Linked DNA regions of Oryzias latipes. The protein of the gene in region 1 interacts with the protein of each later gene in a pairwise test. Links are inferred from orthologs where the notes say so. Each region holds a gene or a part of one and is shown in the gene's direction. Other genes may lie near its edges.

Region 1 (3,904 bases):
TTCTTTAGTGTCAAAATTATAATTTAATCCAGGTTTGAGCAGTCCAGGTCCAGTGGTTTTTGAACAGGACCCGGTCTAAGGTGGACTCAGTGCGTAAAATACGATAAAAATCAACCTATTTCACATTTTCACAAATCAGAGGAAGGTTTCACAAATCAGAAACTGTGTTTAATGTATTCTTCAGTATCTAAATCATAATTTAATCCAGGTTTGAGCAGTCTAGGTCCAGCAGTTTTTGAACCGGACCCCATCTAAGGAGATCTTAGTGCAAAAAAAACAGTGGAATGCTCCTTTAGTGCACTCGCGAATCGGAAGCTGTGAATCGGATGCTAACTTCAGCGTCGTTGATCCAACATTCTGGTTATATGAATTAAAAAAGTTTCCTGGTAACTTATTAAATCAAAAAAAAGTTTTCCAGAAGTCCTATCTAGGGTGTTTTGATGCGCGCGCGCGTCCTCCGCGTGAGTACGGCGGTGACAGCCCCGTTTGAATGGGGGACACGTGCTCCAGGTTCACGTGGAGCCTCGTAGTAACCGAACGGGGCTGGTCCAAACCCGGATTCATACTCTCCCGCCATGGCCTGAACGCCCGCCCCGATGGGAGTCGGCCGCGCCCCCAGTGACCCCGCCCCGAAGAGACAACAGAAGCTTTATGTCGGTCTATGACGTCATGAAAAGTCTGGGTTACTCTGCTAGATCACCGTTCCAGCCTCAATGGAAGAATCAAAACATTCAAAAATAAGATATTTAATGTCAATATCCATCAGTCTGAGCTTTAAGAACAGCGGGATTATAATGTGGAGAAACCTAAATATTAATTTAAACATTATCACTAAAGAACTGGAAATAGTTTTAAACCAGATAAAGGAAAATATTCATATTTTTGGTATAAATTGTTTTCTAAAGTGTTTTTTAAAACAAAAAAAAAACAGGAACAACCATTTTTAATTTATGTATTATAATAAAATCATATCTAACAAGCTGCTGGGGGTTTGTTTGCTGTCTATCCTCATTTTCTGCTCTCTTTAAAAAAAAAACAACAAGCTTTACTGTGGACTATTTTGTCCTCCTGGATAACCAGCCTGGCCTGGGATGGACTTCCTTTTTTCCTAAAAAGGAAAATGTCCTGTTCAGGGTGATGCGGTCTGTCATGCAGACTGAGGTGGAAGGACACCTCTGGTGGTGGATCTGTCATTGCCACTCTGCCCCCTAGTGGCGGCTCTGTGTTGTCGGCCTGTCAGATTATGTCCAGGCATGTACCGATGATTCAGCCTCTCCTAAGAGGGAGGGAGGAGAGGAGAGGCACAGCTCTGCTTTTCTCTGATGGTCTGTAGAGTGAACAGTCATGGTGAGCTCGGAACTTTTTACACTTTGGGTTTTTCTTTGACTCTTTTACTGCTTTACATGATCCATCTCATCATCATATGACATCTGAGATCTAACCAGGAGTGTTCTGTGTTCAAACAGTGCAGAACCATGGCTGCTCCAAAGCGGATTCCCGCCGCTCCCAGGAGGCCCGCGAGGCGAAACCTGTTTGGCCCGGTGGACCGGGAGCAGCTTCAGCTGGAGTACCAGGCCGCCCTGCGGAAAGACCTGGACGAAGCGTCCCTTCGCTGGGGCTTCGACTTCCGCTCCGACAAGCCCCTGGAGGGCAGCCACTTCCTGTGGGAGAGCGTCCCGGGGGCCGGAGTGCCGCTGCTGTACCGCTGTCAGGATGCTGGACGGGTCCAGAAGACGGCGGAGACCAGGACCCCCCCCAAGAGACGAAGATCTGAGCTGCCGCAGAGGGAGAAGGAGAACATCCCACTGACAGAGAACATCTTCAACGTGGAGAAAACACCAGAGAAGGAGGAGAAGGCCGGGATGAAGAGGAAACAGACAAACATCACAGGTGCTTTCATTTGTTTTGAATCGTGTTCTTATGACGCTTTATTGACGATGGAGGACATTTATAAAGAAAAGCTTAGTATTTAATTGTTCAAAGCAGATAAAAAATGTTAGAAAAAGAGAGTATCTGCATTCATTTACAGACAAATAGGTCCAAAAAACTTTTTTAGTCCCTCGTCTGAGCTAGAAGAGTAATGTGAGGGGCTGTAAGCCAGCTAGAGAGGGTACAAATAGATGGATAATGGGAGGTAGGGGCGGGGTTACTCTGAGCTAATGCCCCGCCCACATCTCAGAGGTGACGACAAGATTATTTCATTTTGGCTAAAAAAGGCATAATCGTAATCAAAAGACGACAGGGAAGGCTTTTCTCAAAATATGATGGGAGTGGAACGTTCAGCTGCGTCTGTGTCGTTGCACCGATTCCCCCTGAGCTCAGTGTCGCTTTCATCCCTGCAGATTTCTACCAAGCTAAACGACGAATGGTCTGGATGCCGCGGAAATCGGGCGAGTGACGGAGGAGCGCACACGCCACGCCCCACTCAGAAGCCACGCCCTCCGCAGGAGTCCGTACCTGTGAACTCGGGAGGGGTTCAGCTACATTTCACTGCTCAGTTAATTAGGCTACTGTATGTGGGGGGGGATCGGTGCCTTTCCCTGGGCTAAGAAGGGGACATTTGAGCAGAGAAGATTAACGGTAATCCACGGAATCAGTGGATTTATCCTCATTTGGATCAAGCGGTTGCCAAAGTGATGACAGACATTTTCGCCGCTGTACATTCCACATCTCGGCTCCCACCCACAGGAGAGGAGGAAGATGTACAGCATGTGTTAAAATCACAATGTCCCCCCTTTTTTTATGCTGAAGTGAAGAGTTTTATATGAACTATTGGGAAAAAGAGATTCAACGTCTCCAAGTCTAGAGACGCTCTGCTTCCATCACGAACCACAAACCTGCATTTCCCTTCATGTCCTGTCTCTTATTCGTCAAATTCATCTGCTGCTCTGTCCTGACGTGTGAATGGCTCTGGATTATGAATGTTCAGTGTGTAGCAATTTATCTCTTTGGAGCATTAACCCCTTGTGCTATGTTGTTGGGTCAAAATGACCCCACCCTTACATTGACGTGTTATCCCTACCATGAGAAATGTAGATAAAGGTGGAGAGGATTTCATGTAAACATTGAAAAAAAAGGTTCAGCTCACTGTCTTGTGGGGTCCAGATGACCCCACTTCCAACTGGGGTCACCTGGACCCCACAAGACGGTGAGCTGTACAAGCCAATATGTCTAGTAGGGTCCAGATGACCCCACTCCCAACGTTAACGTGCTCCCAAGGCATGTTAACGTTGGGAGTGGGGTCATCTGGACCCTACTAGATAGCACAAGGGTTATAGATATATATTCAGCATATATCAGATGTATTTGAGTAGTATAAATCTAAAAACATTGCAGTATTGCACAGAAGTTGTACTTGTAGGTATTTTAAGGTGCGTAAAGGACGATCAGGAACAGTATTTTCAGGTCCAAATGTATTCGTGAGGAAGGTTTTTCCATCAGGAGCAAAGGTGTCATGGATGGAACTACTGCTCTCCGCTTGTAAACGACATATCTGTCCAGCAAATCCTGCTGCTCCGCCTAATCTGGATGAGAGTCATGTAAGGTCACTTTAATCATGTATGAACTGACGGCTTCGAAAAGAGCAAACCTGCCCCAATGCACTTCTGCTGATGCTTCTGGTCATGCGATCACTTTTCAGCTCCTCAGGAGTCGACTCTTATTTATTGTGTTATTCATCGTGTTTGTGTGGATCCGTGATAAATCTGAAATAAAAGGCTGATGGTTTTTCTGGATCCTAACTCAATCCAAGGAGAGGAAGAGGTGATGAAGCGCTGAAGGAGTTTTATCTGTGTTTTTCTACACACACCTTTATTTTCTTCAACACAATTGTTGGGTTATTCGTGCTGGGAGTTGAGGTAATAAACAACACGGCAGGAGTGGGTTGATGATCTCAAAGCAGCTG
Region 2 (4,461 bases), on another chromosome or scaffold:
ATAAACAGCCATCCTTGATGGATCTGTCCACTGCACTGATGTGGCTAGAAAATTCCTCCACGTCCTGGGTTTTGATTTTACCCATGTGTTACCCACATACAAGTTGCTCTGTTGGCCTGGATAACAGAATCCTGTGAAATTGTCTTGATTGTCATTTAATGGGGAAAAGCATTTAAAATGTTGTTGCATGCCAGAAACTTTTGCACATATGTTGGTTAAAAAAAAAAAAGAAATAAAAAAAATCTTGTTTAAACATTGCTGCTTGTTTTAGTAGTTTACTTATCACCAACCAGATAGGCAGAACAATGCTGCAAAGCAAAATTTGCAACATGGAATAAGCTGAGTGATAGCTGGCCCCTTATTGAAGAGTGGCTTGTTTTGCAACTTTTGCTTGCCTGATTGCCTGAGGCTTGTTTTGCCTCCATTTCAGCCTCATGATAGAACACAGAGGTGGACAGAAATGTTGCTCTGTTCTGCAACACTGCAATTCATTAAACATTGTAGCAGAGATAAGGGGTTTCATGTTGTGAATATACCGTGCAGATTGTAAAGTAAAAAAATGTTGATTACTTTTTTTATTGTTTTTTTTTTTTTTTAATTAAAGAATGTCTGCAAATCTTAAAATGACCTATGTGTCTTCCGCAGATTTGACTATAGATTATTATCCTTTCATCACAAAGAATTTGCAAGCCCTTACGCTAAGTCTGTGTAAAATCAACTTTGGGTTGTCAGATACGCTCAAAACTCTGGGCACCTTTTAGCACAAGTAACTAGGGAGGTGTAACATGTACTGAGGCCTAATGTCCTTATTTCAGTCAGTGCAGGTTTGAGTCTCAACCTGTCAGTCCTTACTGCATGTCCACCCACACCTTTCTGCCCTCACGGACTGTTAAATAAAGGCACCAGATCTCAGTAAATAAAAAGGCAAACTCAGTAACCTCAACATGACATTGCAAAAAATTATAGCATTGAAAATTCCAACAAAGTTTTGTTTGTTTGTAAGTTCTAGTCTTGCATTTCTTTAAAAATAAAAATTAATGTGTACTTAGTTTTCTTAAAACAAGTTTTCTTTCTGGCATACCTTTTTTTTTCATCTTAGAGGAAAAAAAGTTTCACAAATGAATACATAAAAGAGAAAGGAGAACGATTTGTGAGATTTTCTTCACACAACATGACACAGGCCTGTGTAAAGGTAATGCCTGGTTTGCTGACAATGATGACTCAGCCTTTGTTTCTCAGCTGGTGTGATCTGTTGGCCAAACAAGACAATTTTCATCTTGGTTCCTATGTTAATGGTTTACATACTCTTAAATGAGTCCAAGCCAAAACTGAAGTGACACATTGCAGACCCACAAGTTACACTTTTTAAATTACAACTAATGATGGTTTAACAAGCCCAATGATGGACTGGGGAACTGACTAGGGTGTACCCCGCCTTCGGCCTTCTGTAGCTGGGAAGGCTCAAGCATCCAAGTGACCCCAAACACGAATAAAGCAGGTTTAGAAAATGGATGGACGGTTACAAATAATTGTCTTATAATGTGTGGATTGCACATGTTTGTGTAAAGTTGGAAAGGACCACCAAATAAACCAAATACGAGGTAAAAAAAAATACTGTGTTTATGGATGGACATCAACACGGAAAGATAGAGTATATAAAAGACAGTTGTGTGGGCAGCAACTTCACGGCAGCAGGGCCACAACAGGAAAGTCAGGGGTGACAGAATAAACACGAGGATAAAAAACAGAAATTTTACAATTCACACACATTACACGTGCCACTCTTCTAATAGTTGAAAATATTTAGGCAAAGTCCTCGGTATCCAGGCTTCCTAAGTTGTTACCACATGAAGCATTCCATGATGCCTTTATTGTATCAGTAATTGACATTTTTTGGACTGACAGTTTCTCCTTTAGAAATATGATGATATCATATTTTTGTCTTCTAGTGTACTCTGAAGGTGGTAGCAAATAATTAGAATTCCTTGCCCCCCCCCCCCCCCCCCCCCCAAAAGCTTTTAACTAAACCAGACTTTCTAAAACTTGTGGTAACGTTGCTATTAAAACTACAGACTACAGCTGGAGTGGACTAGCTTGTGTAGGAAGCTCAAATACTATCACTAAGGAAATGGGATAGAGTAAAACAAATAATAAGCAACAGTTGAAGTAGATCTGACATTTTCTTACCATTTTCTTACCTGGTGACCTTCAGATCTACTGAAGTCAGGGCATCAGAAATAACCGACAGCTCACTGAACCAACAGGGAGCAGTAATAGTGGGAAAGAGGTCAAAGCAAGCTGGAGACCAAGTCGTGTGCTATCTGGTTTAAAACAGCTCGCTTCAGAGGGAAAGCTGGAAATCAGCACTGGCCAAAACCTGAACTTGACCACATGGTCAGTACCCTCTGGCTGGGGTTAATATACTCGGTTTTAGACAGTTAATATCCTGTCAGTTGATCTGATGCATACAAGGGACAAATTATATTTGAAAATCAGTACTCACCAGTTTTAATCAGAAGCTGTTGTGCCTTTTAAATGTTTTGGCAAGTAGTTTAAGTCTTTTGTAAATGTTTAAAAGGTAAAAAGGAACATTTTCTTACATTGCAGAATCTTTTTAAACTAGAAATAGTTTTTCTATCTCCCATTTGAATGTACAGGTAATTTGTGCTTTACTAAAGTGACAGTTTCCTATATTAAAATCACAAAACTGCCTGTTATGTTTGGAGGTTTAGATTAGAATTTTGTTTTCTTAATTTGCTTTTATGATAATTAATATAGAAAATCCAGTATTTGTGTTATGATTGAGACTTTCGCATTTGTACGGGAAGTTCTCCATGGGGCTTTGAAATGCCAAAAATTGTGTTTTGGGAAGGCTCTGTTGTGCTTGATTCAGCTGCAGTATGTGGGCTGATGGTTCATGTAGGTTGTTTATTTGTGATTACAGTTTTGTGGTCTAAATGATCAAATCAAAGAAAAGATTCCTGACAGAAATCTCAACATATGCTGGCTGTTCTTCATTCTGGAAACTAACCCCATTTTTCCTCTTATCTTCTCCCCTCTTTCCCATATAGTGACAGTTACGCGCGCGTGAGAGCAGTGGTCATGACTCGGGATGACTCCAGTGGTGGGTGGCTTCCTTTGGGAGGTGGAGGCCTCAGCTGTGTCACTGTCTACAAGGTTAGCCGTGCAGAGGACAATGGCAGCATTCACAGCGGTGAGAGTGGCAGCAACCTAAGCCCGTGTAGCTCCAGTCCTAGTCCGAGTCCGAGCCCTAGTCCAAGTCCCACTGCTGTGGAGTTTCACATCAAGGGTGAAAGGCTCAAGGACAAACTGGTAAGAAAATGTTAAGCATGCATGTTCTGCGAATATTTGTATGAGCAAGAAATGGCATGAAACCTCACTATACAAGACTCCCATCTTTCTCTCAAACACACAGGAAGTGTTTTTGGCCTTCCTCCTCCCTTTTTTTTCCTCCTGAAAATAAATGTGTGACGCATCATGACGTCATGAAGGAAAAAGAGCGGATTAGTCAAGAAAAGAATGTGGGTAGATGGATGTGGGAAACAAAGATCAGGAAACAAAGCTAAGGATGAAGTATAAAAGAATTCAAATAAAACACCACCATTTCCCCACCACTTTACATTCATCCTCCTTCCCTTGTAAGGCTGTTGCTTGGATCAGTAACTTTGCCTTTGTCCTGTTGGTTGAAGACTGTTATTTTTTTAAAAATATCAATGATTATTCTTTTAGATTATGTTACTATAAAAGAAACTTTAAATCCTGGAGTTAAAAAACAAATGCAGATAGGAGTCATCTGTTAGAAAGTAATTTTGTCTATAAGGTCGGAGGATGTAAGTGGGATTTGATGAATACATAAAGAGGGCCTCATAGGTAAAAAGAAATGGTTACATCCTAAAACAGATAAGTTTTTCTTTAAAACATCATAAGTAGCATTTTTTTTATTTCAATTCACTCCATGTGTTTATATTTGTATGTGTTAGTAGCAAAGGAAAAGGTGTGAATGGAAAACTGTGGTTCATAGAAAAGCATTTCTGTCAATGACTGCTAGAGGACACACTAAAACATGTGTGTGTCTGTCAGAATCCACCTATTGTGTTTCCATTAATCACACAGTGAAGAAAACAGTAATAATTTTTAAAGAGATATACCTTTGGTCTTCAAATTTGAAATGCCAAAAGAAGGGAAAGGAAACACCTGAAGGCTATTTAGTGTGATTATGCTCAGTGTACAACAAACTTGTATGTATACCGTATATACACACATAAAAATACAGTGAGGACATGTGTAGCTATATTGGAATGATGTGATGGGGATGCAGAAGATAGAGAGGGCTTGAGAATGGAGTAGGGGAGAGGAAATAGGGGAGGATCCAATGAGATGGGAGACAGAAGATGACGAGAGAGGTGGAGGGGTTCTGTCTATAAGCGCAGTGATGCGGCA
Region 3 (5,197 bases), on another chromosome or scaffold:
AACACTGAAACACTTCAAGATAAGACATTACTGACTTCCTATCATTTTTTTAAATGAGATTTTACCAACTTTTAAAGGGATCTTGAGTCATGTTCTGCCCCGCCTTGAAATACAGATAATTTTTTTATGTACATTTTTTTTTTGTATCTCTAGGTTTGGGTCAAAGGAAGGACAAATTTAAGGATTTTTTTTTACCTGCTTCCTGTATCCCATTAAAACACACAAACACCAACTAAATAAGAAATAAAAAAAGGTCAGCTGGTGGTAAAAGTGGAGCAAACATTAGGAACATCTTGCACCTGGTTTCCTTTCACCTTATTCTTTTCAAAGTGTGTGGCAGCAAACAATTACTTGTGCACAATTGGCTCTAAAGCCTCAGATCACTTAACATAAGAGTGTGAGCTCCATGTGCCTGGCACACTCGGCATATATTTGGTTTTCATGGATCGCAAAACACCCTAAAAAGAAAAAAACCTGATCACTCACCTAATGCAGCGGTGGCCTTTCCAACCACATAGATGGGTTTGGTGTTCCACTGATCTCTCAGAGACTTGTTCCACTCTATAACAAGAGATGATTACATGTTACATCAATTTATTTGAAGTAGTAAGCCTAGCAGAAGAACAGAAATGTTAATTCTATTTGTGATATTCTACCTTCTTTTCTTTTTTCTGCGTCTAAGCACATTTTCACAGCCTCCACTGCCCTGGGGCTAGTAAATATAAGGCCTCCATGTTTTTCTGGCTGAAAAAGCTGAAAAAGAAACAAAAATCATAAACAATCGATATCTAATAACTTCAGGTATAAATATATATGTAAATATAATTGCTTTACCTTATCAGCCAATGTGTTTAATGAGACAAATTTAAATGACAGCACTGGAATTAGTGTAGCTTTGTGTCCATGTGATGCCAGCTCCTTCAAAATAAAATCAAAGAAATATAGCCACTATAATTAATGCAGAACTTTACCAGAACACTGAAACCTGCATCTACCTTAAGATATGGATCAGGTCCAGAAGCTTCTTCTCTGGGCTCTTTCAGAAGCAACACGTGCATTCTGGCGATGTCCTTTCAAAAATAATGGTAATATAAACAAGGGAAAATGCTAGAAAGACAGTTGGGACTCGCAGAACTGCAGAAAGGTTTAGGATCTGATTTAGCTAAGCTACACCCTTGAGCTGTTACATGCAGCCTCCTGATAACGAAGCTGCTGAGTCACGGTTAGAGGGTTGTTCATTATTATAAACACAAAACCAATTTATTGAGATACTTTGTTTAGTGCCGATGGGTAACTCATCCTCGGAGTCGAAGTGTTTACATTAGCAAGAAGCAGCAGATGACGTAGGCAGCTCCAGTTAGCTTCCTGTTTATGTGAAATGTGGGTGACATTTAGGTAATTACTCCATTAATTTACCCTCAAAATAGTAATAGAAACAATGCAAAAATAAATAATAATAAATAAAAAATAATAAACGCAGTCAGAGTTGTTTTTAGCGACGAGGTCCTATCAATCATTGGGTATGGTGGGGGGAGCTACAAAGACCAAACTTCTTCATTCACTCAACAAAGTTCTTAAAAAAAATTGTATTCTATTTACACATGTATATTTTTTAGATATGTATTATATTTTAAACATCATAGTGTATTAGATAAGTTAACTGTTTTAATTAAATTACATTTTAAAAAATTCACCCCCCAGAAACTGCAGTGGTATTTTCCCATTTTGCTAGTGTCAAACCGGATCCACTGGCAGCTGACATGAACGGAGTCAGGAGCCGTAATGGCGGCTTCCCGACACTAGTTTCTTTCCTGTTTCCATCGACTAGCTCCGCCTACTTCAGATGACACACGCGTGTTTCATGGTGCAGCATGGCGTCCTCGGCAAAAAAGAGAGCAGTAGGTTTGGGTGAAAACCCAGAGGAAAGCGAGAGTTCTGATAAGAATCCCGAGGATGATGGGGATTCCGAGGAGGAAGAGGAGGACAGCGACGCATCAGAAGAAATTAACGAGGTGAGTTATGGCACCAACCCAGACTTGTTAGCAAAGCCAGTTAGCATTAGACGCTAGCAATGTCAACAGATGGTTGATAATCTGCTCACATCATGTTTTGGTTTTTACATAGTATCTTATAAATTATTTTCTCCCTTTTTGTTTACACCTTTTCAGGAAGTCACCGTGGATTTTGAAGCTCACACCATGTCAAACAACGACTTCAATGGCATAAAAAAGCTGCTGCAGCAGGTTTAGTGTAGTCTTTATCATTGGTTAAGGCTGTAGGGGGTGTTATAAAGCTTTCACTGATGTTGCTGTCTATGTTTGGATCTAGTTGTTCCTGAAAGCTCATGTAAACACATCAGAGCTGACAGACATGATCATCCAGCAGAACCACATTGGAAGTGTCATCAGGGTATGTTCCTCCCTCCCTCCCTCCCATTCATTCATTCATTCATTCATTCATTCATTCATTCATTCATTCATTCATTCATTCATTCATTCATTCATTCATTCGTGGCTTTAATTGACAATATCTTGGTTCACCACTGCTTTAGCAAGCTGAGGTTCCAGAAGACAGTGATGATGAAGATGCAGATGAAGTGTTCGGTTTTATTTCTATGCTAAACCTCACAGAGAGAAAGGTAAGAATTTATTTATCAATGGGGGGAAAATATGATTTTTTGTGTGTGTTTTTAACATTATCCTGATGATGGGAAGTGGGGATGGGCTTACTCCACACCAACTCAGAGGGGAATTTCTAAATAACTACTGCTGCTCTGCAAAAACTATGTTCTAAAAAACTATTTTTTCTTTTAATTTTGACTAAAAATCTGGCGTCCATCATTCTTTTCAGGGTGTGCAATGTGTGGAGGAAGTGAAGGAGCTGATTTTGGAGCAGTGTGAGAAGAACGCTCCTCATGCTCTGACAGAACAGCTTGAGAAAATCTTCAATGACACCAATAAGCCCGTTGGGCTTCTGCTGAGTGAGCGTTTTATCAACGTACCCCCACAGATCGCCCTCCCACTGCATAAACAACTCCAGTCAGTTCAATTTTAACTTTTTTGACAACCTAAATCTTGTATATTGAAAATATTTTCAGGAGCAATTTTGAAATGTATTTCATTCAATTTTAGGGAGGAGATAGCTGACGCTCAGAGGACTAATAAGCCCAGTGGGAGGTGCCACTACTGCGTGATGATTAGCAAGACCTGCAAAGAAGCATCTAAGAATATCCAGTCCAGAGGAGGAGTTCCTAAAGAGGACTACATGTTTGTCAATGCTGAGGAGGAATTTTTTTATGAGGTAAAAGTTGCAGAAATGCAGAACAGCAAATCAAACCTCCTCATAATCATCTGTCACTGTACATTCCTTCGCACTTATGGAGGGATTTTTGTACCATTATTCCACACGCAACACTCACTGGTTTGATCGTAAAGCTTTACAAATTGTGTGTGCTCAAAAACTTTGAGCACATTTTGAGAAAAACGCACTTGAAACTCAAAAATATGCTGAAACAAAACAATGTTTGATCTTGAAACTGAAAATCACAAGTCAACTAGTCAATCAGCTCAGAGACTGGATCTGCGAGCTAATTGGATCAGGCTGGATCAGGTTTGGGCACGATTGGAATTTCTGACCACTCAATGTCAACCATCATGTCCATGTCTGTGATTGGCTGGCTTTCGGGGCACATTTGTAACGCGGTGCCCTACTTTGTTTCGAGCGCAGAAGAGAGAAATTCTCCCAAGTGAAAACTGTTTTGTTTGTACATATTTATCTGTTTGAAGACTAAAATTGTGTTTGTACACATTTTTGTCTTTCAAGTGCATTTTTTCTCTCTTAAGGTACAAAAAGATTATTTGACCGCACAAAATTTTATCCTCAAAACAGTGAGTGTTGCGCTTGGAATAATGGCACTAAAATCACTCCATACCCAGTCAGTCACTCCAAACAGATTGCACACGGCTAATTGCCATGTGCGCTGCGGTGCCGTTAACTGCGAACACAGAGTCAACAAACTACTTTATTTTAAAAGTAGCTTGCGTGTTGAAAGTGTGGTTTTCAGCTTCTGTTTCATCTTCAACAGGAAGCACTGTTGAAGTTCCATTACTCGGTCCAGGAAGAGGCGGACTCTTGTTTGAGCGGCAGGTGGTCATTCGACGACGTGCCCATGAAGCCTTTCAGAACAGTGATGCTGATACCTGCAGACAGAATGCCCGCCATCATGGACAAGCTGAAAGAATACCTGACTGTGTGACGCAGCTCACGAGTCCAGACCACTGCAGGCTCATGAAAACATGGTTTCATTTCTATGTACAGAATGGTTTTGACCATATTTGTTGCAAATGTTTTACTAAAGCTGAACTATTCATGCTTTTATTATAGTTCCTCAGCATCAAAATTTACATCATAATTTCACATTTTTACAGAACTGGTTGGAAAAACTGCAAAAAAAACTTTAAGACTCAGATACGGTTTTATTTTCCTGTAATATTTTTGATTAAAAAAACTTGTCAACGACTCTAAATGAATAAAAAGGCAAAGCAAAAAAATGTTTTCGTGTTTCTTACTGCATCATGTTTTTTTTTAGCACTCCAAAGTTAATAATAATCCGAAAATGACCTCAGAAGTCCATTTTACTATAATCTGGATACATGTTGCAAAGTTGTAAAGAAAAATAATTTCTGCTAGCATTCGGTTGACTGACCAATAATTTTGACTATAATGCAGACAGGGGGTGCTTAAAATACTTAAACACATTATTTAAAGCCATTTTTTATGCCCACAAATTAAAATCACTTTTTTCATAAGCAGAAAAAACAATTTACAAGTATGAGACGTGAACATACAAGAGCATTAGTTTACCCAGCTGGAGGTTAAATGGTGAAAACTGCCGCCTCTGTGGAGATTGAAACATGTTTTGTACAACTTGGGAGTATTTTTTCAGGTCACTGAATCGCACATCTGTCATGGCTCTGAGTTGCAGCTGCGCAGCTGTTTGCATCGCCGCTCATTCTTGCAGTTTGGGTCTTTTCTTTGCAGTTACTGCATCCGTCTGAGTCCAGCAGAACTTGCAGCATGTCTTTGCTCTCACTAGGAGGCAGATTGTAGAAGTAGTACAGCGGTGCCATTTGAAGGAACCTAAACCAGAATATAAACAATGAGAAACAAAGGTGATGGTGGTAAAAGCACTAAAGCT
Region 4 (4,918 bases), on another chromosome or scaffold:
TTTGTTTTCTCACGTGCTGTGTTACTTTTACACCAAATGTTGTAGACAAATGTATTTTTTAGAAAAGATTGACTTTAATCTAATCAGTCCTTAGATTATTTACTCAAAGATAGCAGGGTCTTTTGACATCTCTTGAATAAGTTACTGCACTCTTGTGGTAATTTGTTCAACAGGCCACTCTGGAGATGGATCACAACTGTTCTTGTGTTTTCCTTGTTTGAGGAGATTTGCTCTCAATAAAGTGTCAAAGCTTCAGAAATGGCTTAATCATCAATGTTTTTGAGCAAGTGGTCCCAAAGACTGTTTTAATTTTTTCCTGAGTATCTCTGGATTGCAACACAACGGCAAACGTTTGAACCTTCAGTTCATGCTGGTCTTAAACATTATTTTCTTGATTATTTTTTTTGTGTATGGGTGTGTTTGTGTATGAGTTTTTGTCTTTGAGTGGAAAGAAAAAACTATCAAAATAAAAGCCCTTCCATGTTATTTCTTACATTGTATTTATTTTGTTATTTATTTACATTAAACGCTAATTTAAGAATACTTATATATAAAAAATTAATCATCTAGCCAGAATATAAGAAAGCAAATATTACCTACACTATGATGGCTACTTTTTTCTACCTTGTATATCTTACCTGATATTTGCTTTCTTGTAACATAGATTTTATTTATCAATTGAACTAGCACATAACATCAAAAAAGAAAAATAGTAATAATAACATATCCTTTTTTAAACCCTTTTAACATATAGCCTAGTAGTCAATAGGCCTAAATCAGGAGTCTGAATCTGAGGCTCCAAATCCAAATGTGGCTCTTTGTCCCTACATTATGGCTTTTTGGCTTTGAAAAAATTCTAATAATTTGCGTAAATAATGGTTTTGTCGTAGTCAGGATTATTTTGAGTTAATTACGTTTTGTCATTTATTTTTAGATTTTTAAAATGTCAGGTAACTGAGCATCATGACAGTAAAAGGTTTAATCTATTGTGTGTGGTTAAAGAGAAGAAACGCCTAGGAAGTGCATGGAGGAACATTTGTAGAAGTTTATATTTACATTATATAGATTTGTTTTGCCTGGTTTAATATTTGAGAGTAAAAGGAAAAAAAATGAAGGCCCACCAAAATCATAATAATAGAAAATGTTATATTGGATTTATCTTTCTATCTTTTTAAATTTAAGTAAATCTCCTGTAGCAAAGGATCCTATTTGACACAGGGTGTGTTTTATTTTGAAAGGATCTTGTCAAAAGTAAATAAAGTTACAATTAATAAATGCAGAAAAACATAACACTGTTATAGTTAAATTACTGTAAATATTTGAAAACTACATAAATAAATTCTATTTTCTAATTGATAAAGTGAGCTTTTGCGGCTCTAAATGGATTTTGGTCCGCATTTACAGTCAATGGTCACAGAAACTTGCCCAAAAGGCTCTTTTAATGTTAAAGTTTGTCCGCAGACAGGAAGTAGCATTAACTGACCTCACATAGTACGAACTCCGTGGCGTCAACGTCCGCCTCGTTTTCGCGGGCATTTTCGGGCGATTGTAAATTCTCCTTTGGTGAGACATCTCCTCCAGACAATCCCGCTTATGGAAGCTTTCGAAATGGAAGAATTTATTTCGACTGTGAAATGTGAGTATAAGTCGGTTCAACTACATTACACGGCTAATTACAGATACAAACCATAAATAATTGTAACTGCGTCATCAGCAGGGGTAGGGGGTAATCAATGAGTTATATCGCGATATAACTGGGGCTAACCTAGCTAAACCATCTGCTAGGCCATGTACTATTTTGTCAAGCTAGTTTAATGAAATGAATTAAGCACATAAATCCTACCTTAGCTTTAGCCTTTGTCCGAGTGAAAAAAATGTTTGCTTTATTTTTTAAACAAATTAATTATATTTTTTCTTTCTTTAAAACTACCTTAAAAAAACATGCAGACTGCCATAAATAATATTATATAAATGTTGGGTTTATTCAGAGAAAAATCTATACAGAAATCATGAGAGCAATTTTAAAGTTAACGAAGAGAATCTTGAAGCTGTTTTTATGACAGACAGACATGCTTGGTTTTATTTTTGTTGTGGAACAATGGCTGGCAAGACTTTTAGGGTATAAATAAAGTTTATTATTTTGAATTGGTTAACAAAATTATCATTTTACTCTTTAAAACGGGAGCATTATGCCTCAGGGGGCTGGAGGGTCTGTTTCTGTTACCCACACATTTATGCATATATATGTGTGTGTATATAATATATATATATATATATATATATATATATTATTTTTTTTTGCTCAATCCTGGATAAATACGATAAAGAACATTTGGCAGAAATCAATATTTTGGAAATTGTTAAGAAAAAAGGGCAAGTAATTTTTTTCACTGTCCAGCTTGATTTGAAAAAAACAAAAATAGAACAAACTAAAAACAAATGTCTCTAGTTATTAAAAAAAGTGTGATTTGAGGCTTTGCAGCAACAAAAATAACTTAGAAGTGTACATAACAGTTACCATTATGCTTTGACTGTGAACTTCACTCACAGAATTCTTTTTAACACCCACTTTTAAAAGTGTGGAGGGTGTAATTTGCATCAGCTTCATATACAACAACTTGCCGCCTCACAGATCTTAAAAGCATAAGAGAACAAGCATATGCCAGAACCCTTTTCTGCTATGGCAAACTAGAAGTTACTGTCAAGGGGAGCAGTTATTGGATGTGTCACATATATTTATTGAACATCTTTTACTCTTAGTGTGTCTATTCATTTCAAACGTTCTGCTTTTTCACAGGTCTCACAGAAAACTTACAGCAGAAAGATCTAACAGATTGCGATGAGGTTATAGAGAAGCTTTTCTCTGAAGTCTCAGGCTTAGATTCCTTTCTCAAAATACCAGATCCTCAGGTAATTTATCAATCGTTTTAGATTGTACTATTTTTAATATAGTCTATAGTCCTGGACAGATATGTACAGAAGAGGATTAGGGCCATGGAGAAAGAAAAAAAAAAAGGGCATAGAAAATTCTGACTTTAATCTCAGAATTCTGACTTTATATGTTCATGTGGAGCTAAACATTTTTTCCCCCTATCCCAACATATCTTGAACCTGCAACTTCGAAATTATTTTATAGCTTAACTACTTTTTAGTAGTTTTAGTAGTAAAACTGAATGCTTAAGTCTAATAATATAAGTTATTGGCATGTTTTTAGTGTCTTGTTTTACTGGTACAGATTCAGGAGTGTGCCGTCCAGTTGTGGAACTGGGCTGTTACCAAGAATGTGGGAAACGCCATAACTGCAATCCAAAAAGCTAAAGGTATTCTTCCAATTGCAGTCTGTATAGTTTTTAAATGTTTACCTTTCTTGATTTTCTAAAACACAAACCTAATTATGGGGATTACAGGCAAGGTTAATGCCTCATTTAATATTTTTTATCATCATCAGTTCGCCATGTTGCATGCAACCTGCTGTACTGCTTTGAGTCTGACAGTCCAACAGAGGGCGCCTTTCGAAAACAAATCTTGGTAAGTAATTCTGGAGGTTTTCCTTTTTATAGCCTGGCATTTCAGGAGGATAAGGCCTGTGTGTTGATATCTTATCCTTCCAGATGGCCAGCAAAGCAGGGAGAGCCTGGCTGAACTGCAAAAACTTTCAGATGGCAGATCACTTTCTGAGACTTGCCGTCAAGGTGAGAAAGAAACGTTGGATAAAATCTGGAAATGTTTTTAGCTGAAAGGAGAAGGATGGAATTATTTTATTCTTTTACAAATGATCCAACATGGTATATTCCTAGAGCTTGGAAACCCTTTACCGCCAGCTAACGTCCAGAGCCAATGACGAACCTGACATCTTGTCATCCAAGGCAGATGTGGAGAAGGACCTTCTTCGGATCCTGTCGTGCCAGGCTGAGTCGGTGAGCAGTGCTGCATGTGATGTTCAACACCTTAAATGTGAATATTTGTTCTTGTGATATTTTGCAGCTTGGGAGGTGCTGTTCTGACAGACTTGCAGTGTGAAGTGTAAGACAGTAAAATTGTGACTGAGAAACAATGAAGGGGGGGTTCTGAAATAGCTAATTGAGAGAAGTTCATTTCCCTTCATTTAATACACAATCTGATCTTTGTTACAGGCTATCGCTCAAGGGAACAACCAAGAAGCCATAGTGTTCATCGAGCGATGCAAAGACATACTGCTGCGGCTGCCAAATGAAGTAAAACACAGCTACCTTACTGTTCTCTTACATTCAAAGCACATGTTGTTGAAAGTGAGGGGGGTGTTAAGTGTGAGCTTTCATCACAGACGGCGTACCTCTCAGTTGTCTGTTACAACTTTGGAATCGAGGCATACAATCTGACAAAGTTTGAAGACAGTGCATTTTGGCTGAGGTAGTAGATTTATTAATGTGGTTTGATAAAAAGTAATAAAATAAAAAAATCCAGGGTAAAAATGCATCTCTTCCTCCTTGTTTGTTTTTGTAGCCAAAGCTATGACATTGGAAAAGCAAACATGAAATATGGTCCAGGATCAGAAGCTCTGGTAAGACCCCGTAAGACAGAATGAATAGAGTTAGCAGCAGGAATGCTAATCTTTGAGAACAAGTCATTAAAAAGAAAAAGAAAATATTTACAATGTCACTCATAAACAGGCCAAAGTTTTGCGGCTGCTCGCCACGTGTTATTTAGAGTGGGACTGTGAGAAGTTTCAGGAAAAGGCTCTAAATACTGTCAGCTTAGCAAACAAGGTGGGACGTGAGGCAATATTACGTCAAATATTTATTGTAAAAGGATGAAGAGTGATTATTCCTATGGTGGTGTTTGGCAGGAGTGTGTGACCCCGTTTGGACTTTACTTAAAGATCAGAATTCTCCTCAGATGCAGAGCCCCAGACAGCCCTGTCAGAGCAGGTCAGTCATAA
Region 5 (5,261 bases), on another chromosome or scaffold:
TACAAAAAAACTCAGTGAACAGACCAGAGGTCTGAAACCTGAGGCTCCAGAACTACATGCTACTTTTATCCCTGCATTCTTTGGCTTTACTATTAATTACGGTTAATTAAGTTTGACATTTCAGGTTGGATTTTTAATATATTAGACGATTGATCAAAAATGATGGTAAGCTATTTCATTTACTGTCAGAAAGATTTGGTAGAATAAGGTAGCAGCGTTTTTTTTTTGCTGTTTAGAGGCAAAGGTACTCAAGTGCATAGGTACATGTACATTTATAGATTTTTTAAAAAGGATTCTACACCAATGCTGTCACGTTTCTATTAGTTATCAAAATGAGAAATGAGAAAAAGGACGAAGGCACCCCAAAGTCATGACAGAAAATGTCATGATTGACATGTATTTTAAATTCAAGTAAATCGGAGCTTTTTCACACAGGGTGTTTTATTTTGAAAGGAACTTGTATGTGCTGCCGTCTAAAGTAAAATAGATTCAATTTTATTACGTGTATAAAACAATACATTTTAGAATGCAATTGTAAATATTTCAAAGCTACATTTTATAAATGAATTAATAAATGATCACAAAAACATAAAGTGTTTTTTTTTATAACAGTGAAGTTGGACTTCATGGCTCTTGCTGGGTTCTTTTAATGTGAAAGGTTCCAGAACCCTGATACTGTTGGTGCTTTTACATTTACGCCCACAAGGTGGCGCCAGAAAACCTGTCACACGTGCTTACTATACCACATGTATTACAAACGTGACATGCTGCTGCTTTTAACAATTTTATTGAGTGTGAGCTTTAGTGCATGAGCTCTGTTCAAACTTTTTTCTCATTTCAAAGTAAACTCAGTTTACTACAGCCAGTTCACCTCTTTACAGGCAAAAAATAAAACAAATAGAAACGTTTTGTTCTATTTTGATGGGAAATTTATTATAGGCTGGAATTTGCAGTGAACATGAGTAGATTTTCAGCTTCTCTGGTGGTGTTCTTGTCATAAAGATGAGGATGGAGAGTCAGCAGCTTCACGTCATCTGAAAGTCTGTGAAAAAAGAAGAACGTTTCCCACGATCAAAGCCGACGAGCAGCTTCTTTGACCTCCTGGGACCTCTGAGGGGTGCAGCAGCTGGTGCAGGCCTGTGCAGTGATGTCCTGTTCCCCGTCCATCTACGACTCCCCCCTCAGTACCGACTCCAGCTCCCCACTCTCCTTCAGCTCCTTCACTATGTCCAGGCCCCCGATCAGCTCCCCTTTCACGTAGAGCTGGGGATAGGTGGGCCAGTTGGAGTACGCCTTCAGGCCCTGACGGACCTCTTCGTCCGACAGGATGTCAAAGGTGTCAAAGTCCACCCCCGTGGAGTTCAGGACCTCCAGGATCTGCCTGCTGAAGCCACAGCGCGCCGCCTCCTTGTTGCCCTTCATGAACAGCATGACGGGGCTCTGGTTGATGATGGCCTTCAGGCGGTGCTCCAGGGTCACGGCCTTTGGGCAGGTGGTCTCCAGCTCCCCGGACTCGGCCAGCTCCTTCACGATGTCCAGCCCCCCCAGCAGCTCTCCGTTCACGTACAGCTGGGGGTAGGTGGGCCAGTTGGAGTACGCCTTCAGGCCCTGACGGACCTCTTCGTCTGACAGGATGTCAAAGGTGCTGAACTGGACGCTGTGCTCCTTGAGCAGCGCCACCATCTGGCGGCTGAAGCCGCAGCGGGGCTCCTGCGGGGAGCCCTTCATGAACAGCACGCAGGGCGCCGCGTTGATCAGCTTCTTCAGCCGCTGGTTCAAGTCCGCGGCGCCGCCGTCCGCGGCTCCTCCTGGGGCGGGCCCGCTACCCGCCAGGCCCTGGACCTTCTTAGTCAGCTCCGCAGCGTGCGCCCCGTCCAGACGATCCACCTTCTCACCCCCCTTGAAGAAGATAAAAGTGGGGACGGAGGATATGTCATACTTTTCCGACACATCGGGAACAGCCTCCGCCTCCAGCTTCACAAACGTCGCGTGCGCGTGTGCCTTGGCCAGCTCGGCCATCACTTCGTTCATGTCGCCGCACTGAGGAGCCCATGCCGCCTGGAAATGTACAACCGCGAGGTTTTTTCCAGCTTTTGCAAGGAAATCCTCGAACTGTTGTCGGCTCGTCGCCTCTAGCACATTCGCCATCTTTGCTTCTTTGACCTCGACAGCAGTCCGGCGGCTTTCTGACGTCACATCCGTTCAGCCCTAAAAGCTGTTAGCTGTAGCATAGCCGCGACGCACCGGAGAAGTGCTCGGCTTTCTGAATATAAGAGCCTCCTGTGGACTCTGGATACGTTAAAAAACATTGTATGATTTAAAAGGTAAGCGTTTGACGGTGTGACGCATAAAAAACGGAATGTTCTGCGCTTAAGCATTAGTAGCGACACGACAGATCAGTTAGCATCTTTAGCTAATCTGTTTGGCTAATTAGCCAGTCGGCGTTTATTTGGTTCCTAAAAAAAGTAATCCTGCTGAAGAGCAAGTGGCGATATGTTACTTTCTATCTTTTGTTATACTGTCTGTCCTAAATCTTAGTTTAATATTACATCGCTCCTGTCCTTGTTTAGCGAATACAGCCGGGCTAACTGTTTTTGGCTAACGCTAGTACAGGGAGTCCGTCTTTGGGAAAAAAACAAAGCATTAAATCAAATTTAACCCACTGAGTCTAACATAAAGATATAGATGCTATTTTACGTTAATTGTATGTTTATTAAAATTCTTGTTTAGGAAATAGCTCAGTTAATAATGTATTTTAAATTAGAGCTAAATAATTCAGCTGATTGTAGTTATCCGGATTCCTTAGTTAGAGATTTTATTTTCTAGACTAAAGGCTGGTTAATAAATTCACTTCAACGTTGCCTGTTTGTTAAAAAGAAGAGGTGATCTAGATGATTGCTGAAAAATTGGAAACTACGCTCACTGTTCTTCATAAACTTATAAACATGCCGTGGACGCACCATGCTTGTTGAACAGATTGTTAAATAACCTGGTGCTTATCAAAATTTTTGTAAAAGTGTACAAACACTTTAAAAAGTCACATAAACAGAATAATTTGTAATTGAAGATGTAATACAATTGCAGGAACGCTATGGATGAACAAACCTCAGACATAGAAGTGACGGTCAAAACTCTGGACTCTCAGAGCAGAACCTACTCAGTCGGTGCTCAGGTAAATGGAAAGTTCCTGCTGTAAATATTTGGGTAGTTTCCTTTTGTCTTTTATGATCTGACTGAAATGATCCATTGTTTTGCAGCTGACAGTTAAAGAGTTCAAAGAGCACATTTCTCCTTCAGTGGGCATCCCTGTGGACAAACAGAGGCTCATCTACCAGGGCAGAGTACTGCAGGATGAAAGGACGCTGGCAGACTACAGTTAGTCAAAGGATATATTAAATCTTCCTCCTCTTAACCTTTCAGCTTGTTGCTTCAGGGAGTCTCTCCATCTGAACATCCCTTCTGCCTCCTTTCAATCACACCACCAAGGAGCATTTCAAAACTATTTCTTTTAAGTAAAAATTCTGTCATTGAATTAGTTTTTGGTTCCATCTGCTCTTTCTGCTGATTTGCCACTGCTTCTGTTTTAGCTGACCATATTCTCCGCTACTCTTGTAGATGTGGCTGGAAAGGTGATTCACCTTGTGGAGCGGGCCCCCCCTCCACCCTCCCAGCCTGGCTCGGGGTCAGGGGCCACCGCAGCCGACAGCGGGCAGTCTTCATCCTCCCAGGGAGCATCGCAGGTGCCTCCACACGATCGCAATGCCAACAGCTATGTCATGCTTGGAACCTTCAACCTCCCCGTCAATATCATGGACCCCCAGCAGATACAGGTAGGTCTGCATTGTTGGTGTGCGTTGTCAGGGATGAAGGCAGCACTGCTCAACAGATGACGAGATTCCAGTTGCTCAGGGCAACTAAACTCTGTGTTTCGGCATGAAGATCTGAGTTCAGTCAAGTTGAAACATTACTTTTCTAAACGGCTGCCTTCAATCTGCCATGAGGCTGTCTGCTTTTGTTAACAACCTTTGATCACAAACCTGCAGGAAATTTTTCTTAAAAGGACCAAGTCTTCTGGATCAAAATGACATGAAAGTCAGATGGGTTCGTTCAAAGTGAAAATAAAACCACAGGGATTGATTTCAGATTTTAAAACCATCTAGATGTAGTCGGTTTATCACGCAGAGCACAAGTGAATTGTTCTGTGTGATCTCTGCATTGTTTTCATCTCAGCATTTTCCACTATGTCCGATCATATTGTGTGGAGATGTTAAAGGGAAAATGGACAAAGATGGACTTTAGAGACTCCGGCATATGAACTCTGTTCATGTCATCTTGATGGGTTTGCTAAATTATCCTAAAAACAAATACATTTAAAGCTGCAACGACTGTTGAATGACCATTGCCACCCTGCACCATGGGCCCATCAACAGCCCCCCAGGTCTGTCTGCTGCCCCCAGCAGCTTCTCCTCGGCCTGTGCTGCAACAGAACAGGATTAAGGCGTGATGCTCATCCTCTAACTCTGCAGCCCCATCTGAAAATGGTGCCACAGTAAAACCCCACCCGCTCCTCTACATTCCATGGTCCATGACATCAGTGAAGATGGAGCATAAAGAAATTTAATGATTTTTACTGGATGGCTCTTTCTTAGGGGATATATATATATAAAAAAAAGGTTTTACTGGCCCAATTTTACTTAGTTTTTTTTGTTGGAAGAGAACAAATCGTTTACTTTTTATGACAAATTTTTGAATCAGTTTTGCGGATTTTCATGCATATTAGGGGTCTAATTAGGTCTCAAAGAGGGAGAAAGTAAAATAATAAATAATAACAATTGCAATTATGACTCTTAGTCCACTTTGTGATTGCTTGAAGACTGTGGTTTAAGCCGAAAATTACTCAATGATATGATAAAGTATATAATACTTATATAATAAAGACACTAACTGTACATTAAAGCTGTGTGATTCTTGTGTCTCCTAGATGTCTGTTCAGCAGATGGTCTCTGGAATGGGAGATAATGCAAGAAATGCTCGAGTCACAGCCAGTACTGGAGTAAGTAATAGAAGCTCCCTTCTATTCTTTAAAAGCTCGTCAAAAAACAGGATTTGAAACAAAAACCTTTTCTTTCCTGTTGTGACTGCTCTCAGAGCAACGGGTCTGTAAACGTTCACATCGACATGGACCAGCCGGTGCAGAGCGAACCCAGGCTGAGGCTGGTTCTGGCCGAGAATCTGCTGCGAGACCTCAACGATGTCATCAG
Region 6 (5,161 bases), on another chromosome or scaffold:
ACCACAAGTTATTTAAACTTTTCATAGAAGCAATAGGGAAGACTGACACACAGCCGCACGTACACTTCATTCCACAACACCAAAAAAGTGCGGTCAGTCAACTTTACGAGCTACTTACCAGCTCTTTTCCTCTCTTTCCCTCGTCTGCCCCTCCAAACCCCCCACCCCCCCTCAATTGCAGCTACACAAACTTCAGCTAACTATCATACACCCGGGCAGAGCGTCGACGGTTCCCTTCACCGGACGCCCAAAAATAAAACAATAATAAAAATGAAAGTTTAGTTTCGTAGGTCTCAATTTCTTCTTTCCCCAACAAGTCTCTCCTTCCCTTCCTCCTCCCCCTCCCGTCTCACCCCCTCCATGGTCACGACACACGGCACTTCCGCGAACAAATGGCAACGTCATCTGTTCGCTCGCAGATGCTGTGTGCGCACGTGTTCGCGTGGGCGCGCGCCCAAGTTTGTGTTTTGTGGGGCAGATATTTTATTTCTCCTGAATCCGTCTGTGCACGAAAATATTCAATAATTTAACACTCAGAAAAGCCCCCCCCCCACCTTTTTTTGTATGTTTTCCCTTCTAAATAACTTTATAACATCTTTATATGGACACATTTCTGCAACAATATAACAATAATGTTAATATTTTTAAAAAATAGATTATTTTTTACAAAATAGCTAGATTTATTACATTGATTATCTACAAAAACAACATCATGTTTAGACTGCAGCAGCAACATGTACATAACATCTTCATATTGTATTACTTCATGAGGAAGAACGGCTATTTTTATTTATAACCAAAAACTGAGAAAAGCTCTTCTAAAAATGTTTTTGTCAAGTTTCATAGTCTAAAAAAACTTTAGCCCTGTGTCCTCACATTAATAGAAGTAAAACTGATGGTTTAAATAAACGATGGGTGCTGGTCGTCTGTCAGGAGAGTGAAGGCTAACCTTTTATTATACAGGTCAAAAACTGATCAATCTGCAGGAATATCTGCAGGTTTTATTTTTACTACTCTATTATACATGAGTGATGTGTAAGATAAACTAACCTTTCTTCAGCTCACTGCAGCCTCTGCTGGGACAGAACTTACTGCAGTCATGGATGTCTTTGTGAGTAAATTCTGTCAAACTGCAATAAAGTAATGAAACTTAAAAAGCAACAAAACAATGCCAACAAAAGAAAATCTAAACCCAAGACTTAAAGAGACTGCTCACAACAATAAAGGAGACCTTTATTGACCTGCGTTACTGCTGCAAATTGGAGATGCTCTGGATTTTATTTATTAATTAAATATTTATTTATATACATTTATTAAATGCATCTGCTCTCTCTCTCTCTCTCTCTCTCTCTCTCTCTCTCTCTCTCTCTCTCTCTCTCATAAAGACTCCAGGACTAATTTTGAAAAGACAGGATCCTTTTGTTTATTTTTCAGATTTGACTTCCACATCCTTGATTCTCCATTTTAGAAATTACCATCTAAAATTTTTTTAAAATGTAATCTGACAATTCCATAAAAAGAATAAAAAAAGGGGGGAAACAGACAAGGACACTGAACTGCTCAACATGATCAATTTGGTTTAAAGTTTGTTTTTTTGTATTCTAATGTTGTGCAATAATTTAAATGTAGGTCAGGTTTTTTTTTATCTGTCTTTAAAATAGACACTAAACCTTCAACACGTCGCTAAAATTTCGCCTCTTTTTACAGAAAATATTACATAAACAAAAATGCGCCATCAACATTTCCGGATTGATCATCTTCAAGGTTGATAATCTGATCAGAAATTTCCGATTTGATCCTCCCAGCCACTAGGGGCGTGCGAGAGTAGCTGTTGTCCTTTTCTCTCCCCTTCGAAGAAGTCGTCCCTCGCATCCTTCCGCGACGGTCAGCTTGACAGTAGCTCAAATCGTCAAATCTGGGGGAAAAGACTTTTTAGATACCAGACGTATGCAATGCCTTTCTCGGTACAGTCAAACTACAGCTTCACACCACCTGGACAAACTAAGACGATCACCGTTATCGTGCTTCCGGATATTGTAAGAACATGCATAACGTTAAAACCCGCCCCTTGAAAGTCATTGGCTGTTAACGTCACTTTCCTTTTTGTGATTGGACCAAAAGGGCTTGAGCCACCGTCGTCACAGCTGTGGGGATTCATAACGAGGACATATGCGGCTTCAGAGTAACAGTAAGTTACCTTTAAATTAAGGACATAATGTTCACATACCGGACTACAAATTCGATACACTACGAGCGCATCTTAACTGAGAATCGCAAATGTTTATATTAATAGTATAAAAAGGTATTTAGTATTTTAGCAATAATGCGATGTTGTTGACTTCCCTTCCAAAGGTTGAAGTAGTACCTAGCAAGAAGACTTCAGAGTTACTAGCGTACATTTGAAAGTCCTTAACGCGGGCACTAGTTTTTTCCCCCAAAGTAGTTGCTTCTTTTAAAATATAAAAATACAGAACTTTGTCCATAACTGTATTTAAGTTGGTGTAAAAAAATAATATGTAAAGGGTACATAAGACTGAGATTGTGTCCAACGTTGCTACTCTCTCTGTAACTTACTAGAAAATAATCACAGTAAAGAAAAACTGGGTCTCCAACGTTGCAGACTTACAATGTGATCGTTTTCTTTATTTCATAAATTTATTGTATAATACAAATTGGCAATATGAATTTTAGCAACATCAACAAATAAAGGTTTATGTTAGATACTGCAGCATAATTATGAAAGTCCATGTTGACTTTGTTTTAGTTGTTCCATGGAAGATTTTGAAGGTGGACAATAGCATTTCTGACCCAAATTATTACATGACTTGCATTTTAAATAAAAATTGCCGATGTTCAAAATCTCAGAACTACATTCGTTTTTCTAAATGCTCTTTGCCCTTATTTCTTCTTATGTTTTTTGTTTCCCTAGACACCCCCTAATTGAATAGGAATCATGAAGGGAAAGAGGGTCTGAACTGCTGTAGATCTTTTTTTGGGTGGTCTGTGTGGATCCATGTTTATGTAAGCATTGTTGTTTGTGCATGAAGGAACATATAGTGACTAATTTTAGCCTTTAAAGGCGACTTTTAAGAGATGGTTTGGAATTTGTTTTGGAGTTGAACACTTATACGTCACACATTTCTTCCCAGCTTTTCCTTGCCCAGTTTAAGTAGAGCGGGGGTGCGTGTGAGGAGGCTGACGGCACAACTCAGCAGAGCAGCCATGTCCGCCGAGAGGCAGAGCTCCACTGCGGCTCCCACTGCAGCCATTCTTATCATTGGAGATGAGATTCTAAAGGTGAGGTTTTTTTGTTGTTGATTGATATTTTTGCTTTGTGTTGCTTTCAACCTCAGAATGAGTGGCAGAGGCTCGCTTCTTGAAAGATCACGCACAACTGCCTCCTGAATACGGCTTAAATAAACGATGTTTGATGTTATTAACATGTGCAGTGAGTCGTTATCATTTTGGGCCTCTTATCCCGTCTCAGATCCCCATTTCAAGATCCAAGGAAAACCTTGTGATGGTTATTTGATGTGGCAGTGATGTTTCATATTTAAAATGACAAGTTGACTATAACTCCTTGACTTGACATGATCATGATTTAAACATGAGCTCTTTGATTTTCGTCCAATGTCACGCCTCACTCTCAGCATACGCTCACTGTGACTCCTTGAATTTCATCAGGCGGCGGTCTGGAGTTTTTTGTAGTCCTTGAATGTCACTTGTGTGTGTGGCTGCAAACTCTAGAGTCAAACTTTGTCTTCTTTTCAGGGCTACACAGTGGACACCAACAGCACCTTTCTAACACAAGCACTTCGCAGACTTGGCGTCTCTGTACAGCGTATAACCGTCATACCAGATATACAGGAGGTCATAGCCAAAGAGGTAGCCCTCCTCTCCTCTCAGTATACACACCTGTTCACCTCGGGGGGCATCGGACCCACCCATGACGATGTCACCTTGGAAAGCATTGCCATGGCATTCCAAGAGGAGATGTATCACCATCCGGATCTCACCTTGCTGGTTAAGGAATTCTTTGGGGGGACGGACAAAAACAGTCCGGCCATGAAGATGGCTAAGGTGCCCCGTTCTGCCAAACTCAACTATGGAGTGGATCCTCAAACTGGGAAACCACAACTCTACCCTGTGGTATGTTAATGTTTACAGAATGGGATTCATAGCTTTAAGTAATTTATATTCACTTCTTCAATATCCTTGAAAATGAATTTCATGCATCTTGTCAGGTTCAGATAAAAATTTTCATGATTTTAAGAAGTTCTTATAGGTCAGGATATTTTTTGTGGTGAAGACGTGTTTGTTTTTCTTGTATGAATGCTCATTCTCACAGGTCAGTGTGCGTAATGTGTATGTGTTCCCTGGGATCCCGGCTTTAATGGAGAGGGCCTTCACGGGGCTGGAACAGCTCTTTGCTACTTCAGGAACCACCTTTCACAGTCGTGAGGTAACGCCATCATCATGCAAGTCATTCAAGGATTTTCATGTGTTTTACTAGGGCAAAAAGGGGTAACCAAACTTGTCCTGTAAGGTGTTTGTGGATGCAGATGAGACAGACATCGCACCCACTCTGACCAAACTGCAGGCCAGCTGGGGCAAAAGGGTGGCTCTTGGGTCCTACCCCGACTGGTTGAGTAACTACAGCAAAGTCAGACTGGTCCTGGATTCGGAGAGCCTGGAGGAGGTGGAAAAAGCCAGAATACAGCTGGTGGAGGAGCTGCCGAAGGGTAGCGTTGTAACTTTGGTCAGAGATTCGGTGTCCATTGCCCCTACTGAGGTCCACAAACTGGCTGACGATGGTGAGGGTGACAGAGGCTGTAAATGTGGCGGTTTGGGAGATATTGGAACCATAGTCCATTTTGTTTAACTGTTGTTTCGATTGGAAAGAGGAAAAAAGGCTTCAACTTGAACCTAATTAATATTCCTAAGCATCCAAAAGAAACACTGGGATAATTTTGCTTATTCAAATGTATGTAAAGTTAAAAATAACGTTCCACCAACTTTTTTCTACAGCTACTATGTTGGGAGTGAAAGTCAAGTCAGCACTGAAGACCATAGAAGCTGCTCTGGACCAGTATTCATCCGATCAAATCTGCGTGGCCTTCAATGGAGGCAAAGACTGTACGGCGCTGCTTCACCTCTACTA

The links.
Region 2: the proteins of cyclin-dependent kinase inhibitor 1-like (region 1) and spred1 interact in binary tests that used the Homo sapiens proteins (3 or more experiments, as listed by UniProt). The link is inferred for Oryzias latipes from reciprocal best matches to the Homo sapiens genes CDKN1A and SPRED1.
Region 3: the proteins of cyclin-dependent kinase inhibitor 1-like (region 1) and bccip interact in a two-hybrid assay, tested with the Homo sapiens proteins (2 studies listed by BioGRID, with this or other methods). The link is inferred for Oryzias latipes from reciprocal best matches to the Homo sapiens genes CDKN1A and BCCIP.
Region 4: the proteins of cyclin-dependent kinase inhibitor 1-like (region 1) and tex11 interact in binary tests that used the Homo sapiens proteins (3 or more experiments, as listed by UniProt). The link is inferred for Oryzias latipes from reciprocal best matches to the Homo sapiens genes CDKN1A and TEX11.
Region 5: the proteins of cyclin-dependent kinase inhibitor 1-like (region 1) and bag6 interact in a two-hybrid assay, tested with the Homo sapiens proteins (2 studies listed by BioGRID and IntAct). The link is inferred for Oryzias latipes from reciprocal best matches to the Homo sapiens genes CDKN1A and BAG6.
Region 6: the proteins of cyclin-dependent kinase inhibitor 1-like (region 1) and flad1 interact in a two-hybrid assay, tested with the Homo sapiens proteins (2 studies listed by BioGRID and IntAct). The link is inferred for Oryzias latipes from reciprocal best matches to the Homo sapiens genes CDKN1A and FLAD1.

Annotation. Positions count from the first base shown.
Region 1 is NC_019863.2:2,307,817-2,311,720, reverse strand, and holds cyclin-dependent kinase inhibitor 1-like, read left to right. Parts: upstream 1-1,462; 5' UTR 1,463-1,466; coding exon of another isoform or gene 1,467-1,475; coding exon 1,476-1,890; intron 1,891-2,342; coding exon 2,343-2,398; 3' UTR 2,399-2,443; downstream 2,444-3,904. UniProt on the Homo sapiens protein: Plays an important role in controlling cell cycle progression and DNA damage-induced G2 arrest. Involved in p53/TP53 mediated inhibition of cellular proliferation in response to DNA damage.
Region 2 is NC_019880.2:7,029,627-7,034,087, reverse strand, and holds part of spred1 (sprouty-related, EVH1 domain-containing protein 1), read left to right. Parts: intron 1-3,071; coding exon 3,072-3,333; intron 3,334-4,461. UniProt on the Homo sapiens protein: Tyrosine kinase substrate that inhibits growth-factor-mediated activation of MAP kinase. Negatively regulates hematopoiesis of bone marrow.
Region 3 is NC_019877.2:11,824,476-11,829,672, forward strand, and holds bccip (BRCA2 and CDKN1A-interacting protein), read left to right. Parts: upstream 1-1,760; 5' UTR 1,761-1,871; coding exon 1,872-2,012; intron 2,013-2,168; coding exon 2,169-2,243; intron 2,244-2,328; coding exon 2,329-2,409; intron 2,410-2,551; coding exon 2,552-2,638; intron 2,639-2,850; coding exon 2,851-3,038; intron 3,039-3,131; coding exon 3,132-3,300; intron 3,301-4,084; coding exon 4,085-4,255; 3' UTR 4,256-4,543; downstream 4,544-5,197. Other genes in the region: uros (uroporphyrinogen-III synthase), read right to left, coding at 487-561, 657-753, 835-918, 996-1,070, 1,695-1,724; putative pre-mRNA-splicing factor ATP-dependent RNA helicase DHX32, read right to left, coding at 4,947-5,139. UniProt on the Homo sapiens protein: During interphase, required for microtubule organizing and anchoring activities. During mitosis, required for the organization and stabilization of the spindle pole.
Region 4 is NC_019868.2:11,386,808-11,391,725, reverse strand, and holds the start of tex11 (testis-expressed protein 11), read left to right. Parts: upstream 1-1,475; 5' UTR 1,476-1,593; coding exon 1,594-1,636; intron 1,637-2,797; coding exon 2,798-2,910; intron 2,911-3,235; coding exon 3,236-3,320; intron 3,321-3,448; coding exon 3,449-3,528; intron 3,529-3,611; coding exon 3,612-3,692; intron 3,693-3,797; coding exon 3,798-3,917; intron 3,918-4,133; coding exon 4,134-4,214; intron 4,215-4,303; coding exon 4,304-4,389; intron 4,390-4,482; coding exon 4,483-4,540; intron 4,541-4,649; coding exon 4,650-4,745; intron 4,746-4,825; coding exon 4,826-4,907; intron 4,908-4,918. UniProt on the Homo sapiens protein: Regulator of crossing-over during meiosis. Involved in initiation and/or maintenance of chromosome synapsis and formation of crossovers.
Region 5 is NC_019874.2:28,119,131-28,124,391, forward strand, and holds the start of bag6 (large proline-rich protein BAG6), read left to right. Parts: upstream 1-2,199; 5' UTR 2,200-2,324; intron 2,325-3,082; exon of another isoform or gene 3,083-3,084; 5' UTR 3,085-3,091; coding exon 3,092-3,172; intron 3,173-3,257; coding exon 3,258-3,375; intron 3,376-3,615; coding exon 3,616-3,830; intron 3,831-4,981; coding exon 4,982-5,053; intron 5,054-5,148; coding exon 5,149-5,261. Other genes in the region: glrx3 (glutaredoxin-3), read right to left, coding at 1,168-2,148. UniProt on the Homo sapiens protein: ATP-independent molecular chaperone preventing the aggregation of misfolded and hydrophobic patches-containing proteins.
Region 6 is NC_019874.2:18,343,909-18,349,069, forward strand, and holds the start of flad1 (FAD synthase), read left to right. Parts: upstream 1-1,833; 5' UTR 1,834-2,036; intron 2,037-2,121; 5' UTR 2,122-2,188; intron 2,189-2,929; 5' UTR 2,930-3,013; coding exon 3,014-3,021; intron 3,022-3,149; coding exon 3,150-3,297; intron 3,298-3,771; coding exon 3,772-4,149; intron 4,150-4,348; coding exon 4,349-4,462; intron 4,463-4,546; coding exon 4,547-4,814; intron 4,815-5,028; coding exon 5,029-5,161. UniProt on the Homo sapiens protein: Catalyzes the adenylation of flavin mononucleotide (FMN) to form flavin adenine dinucleotide (FAD) coenzyme.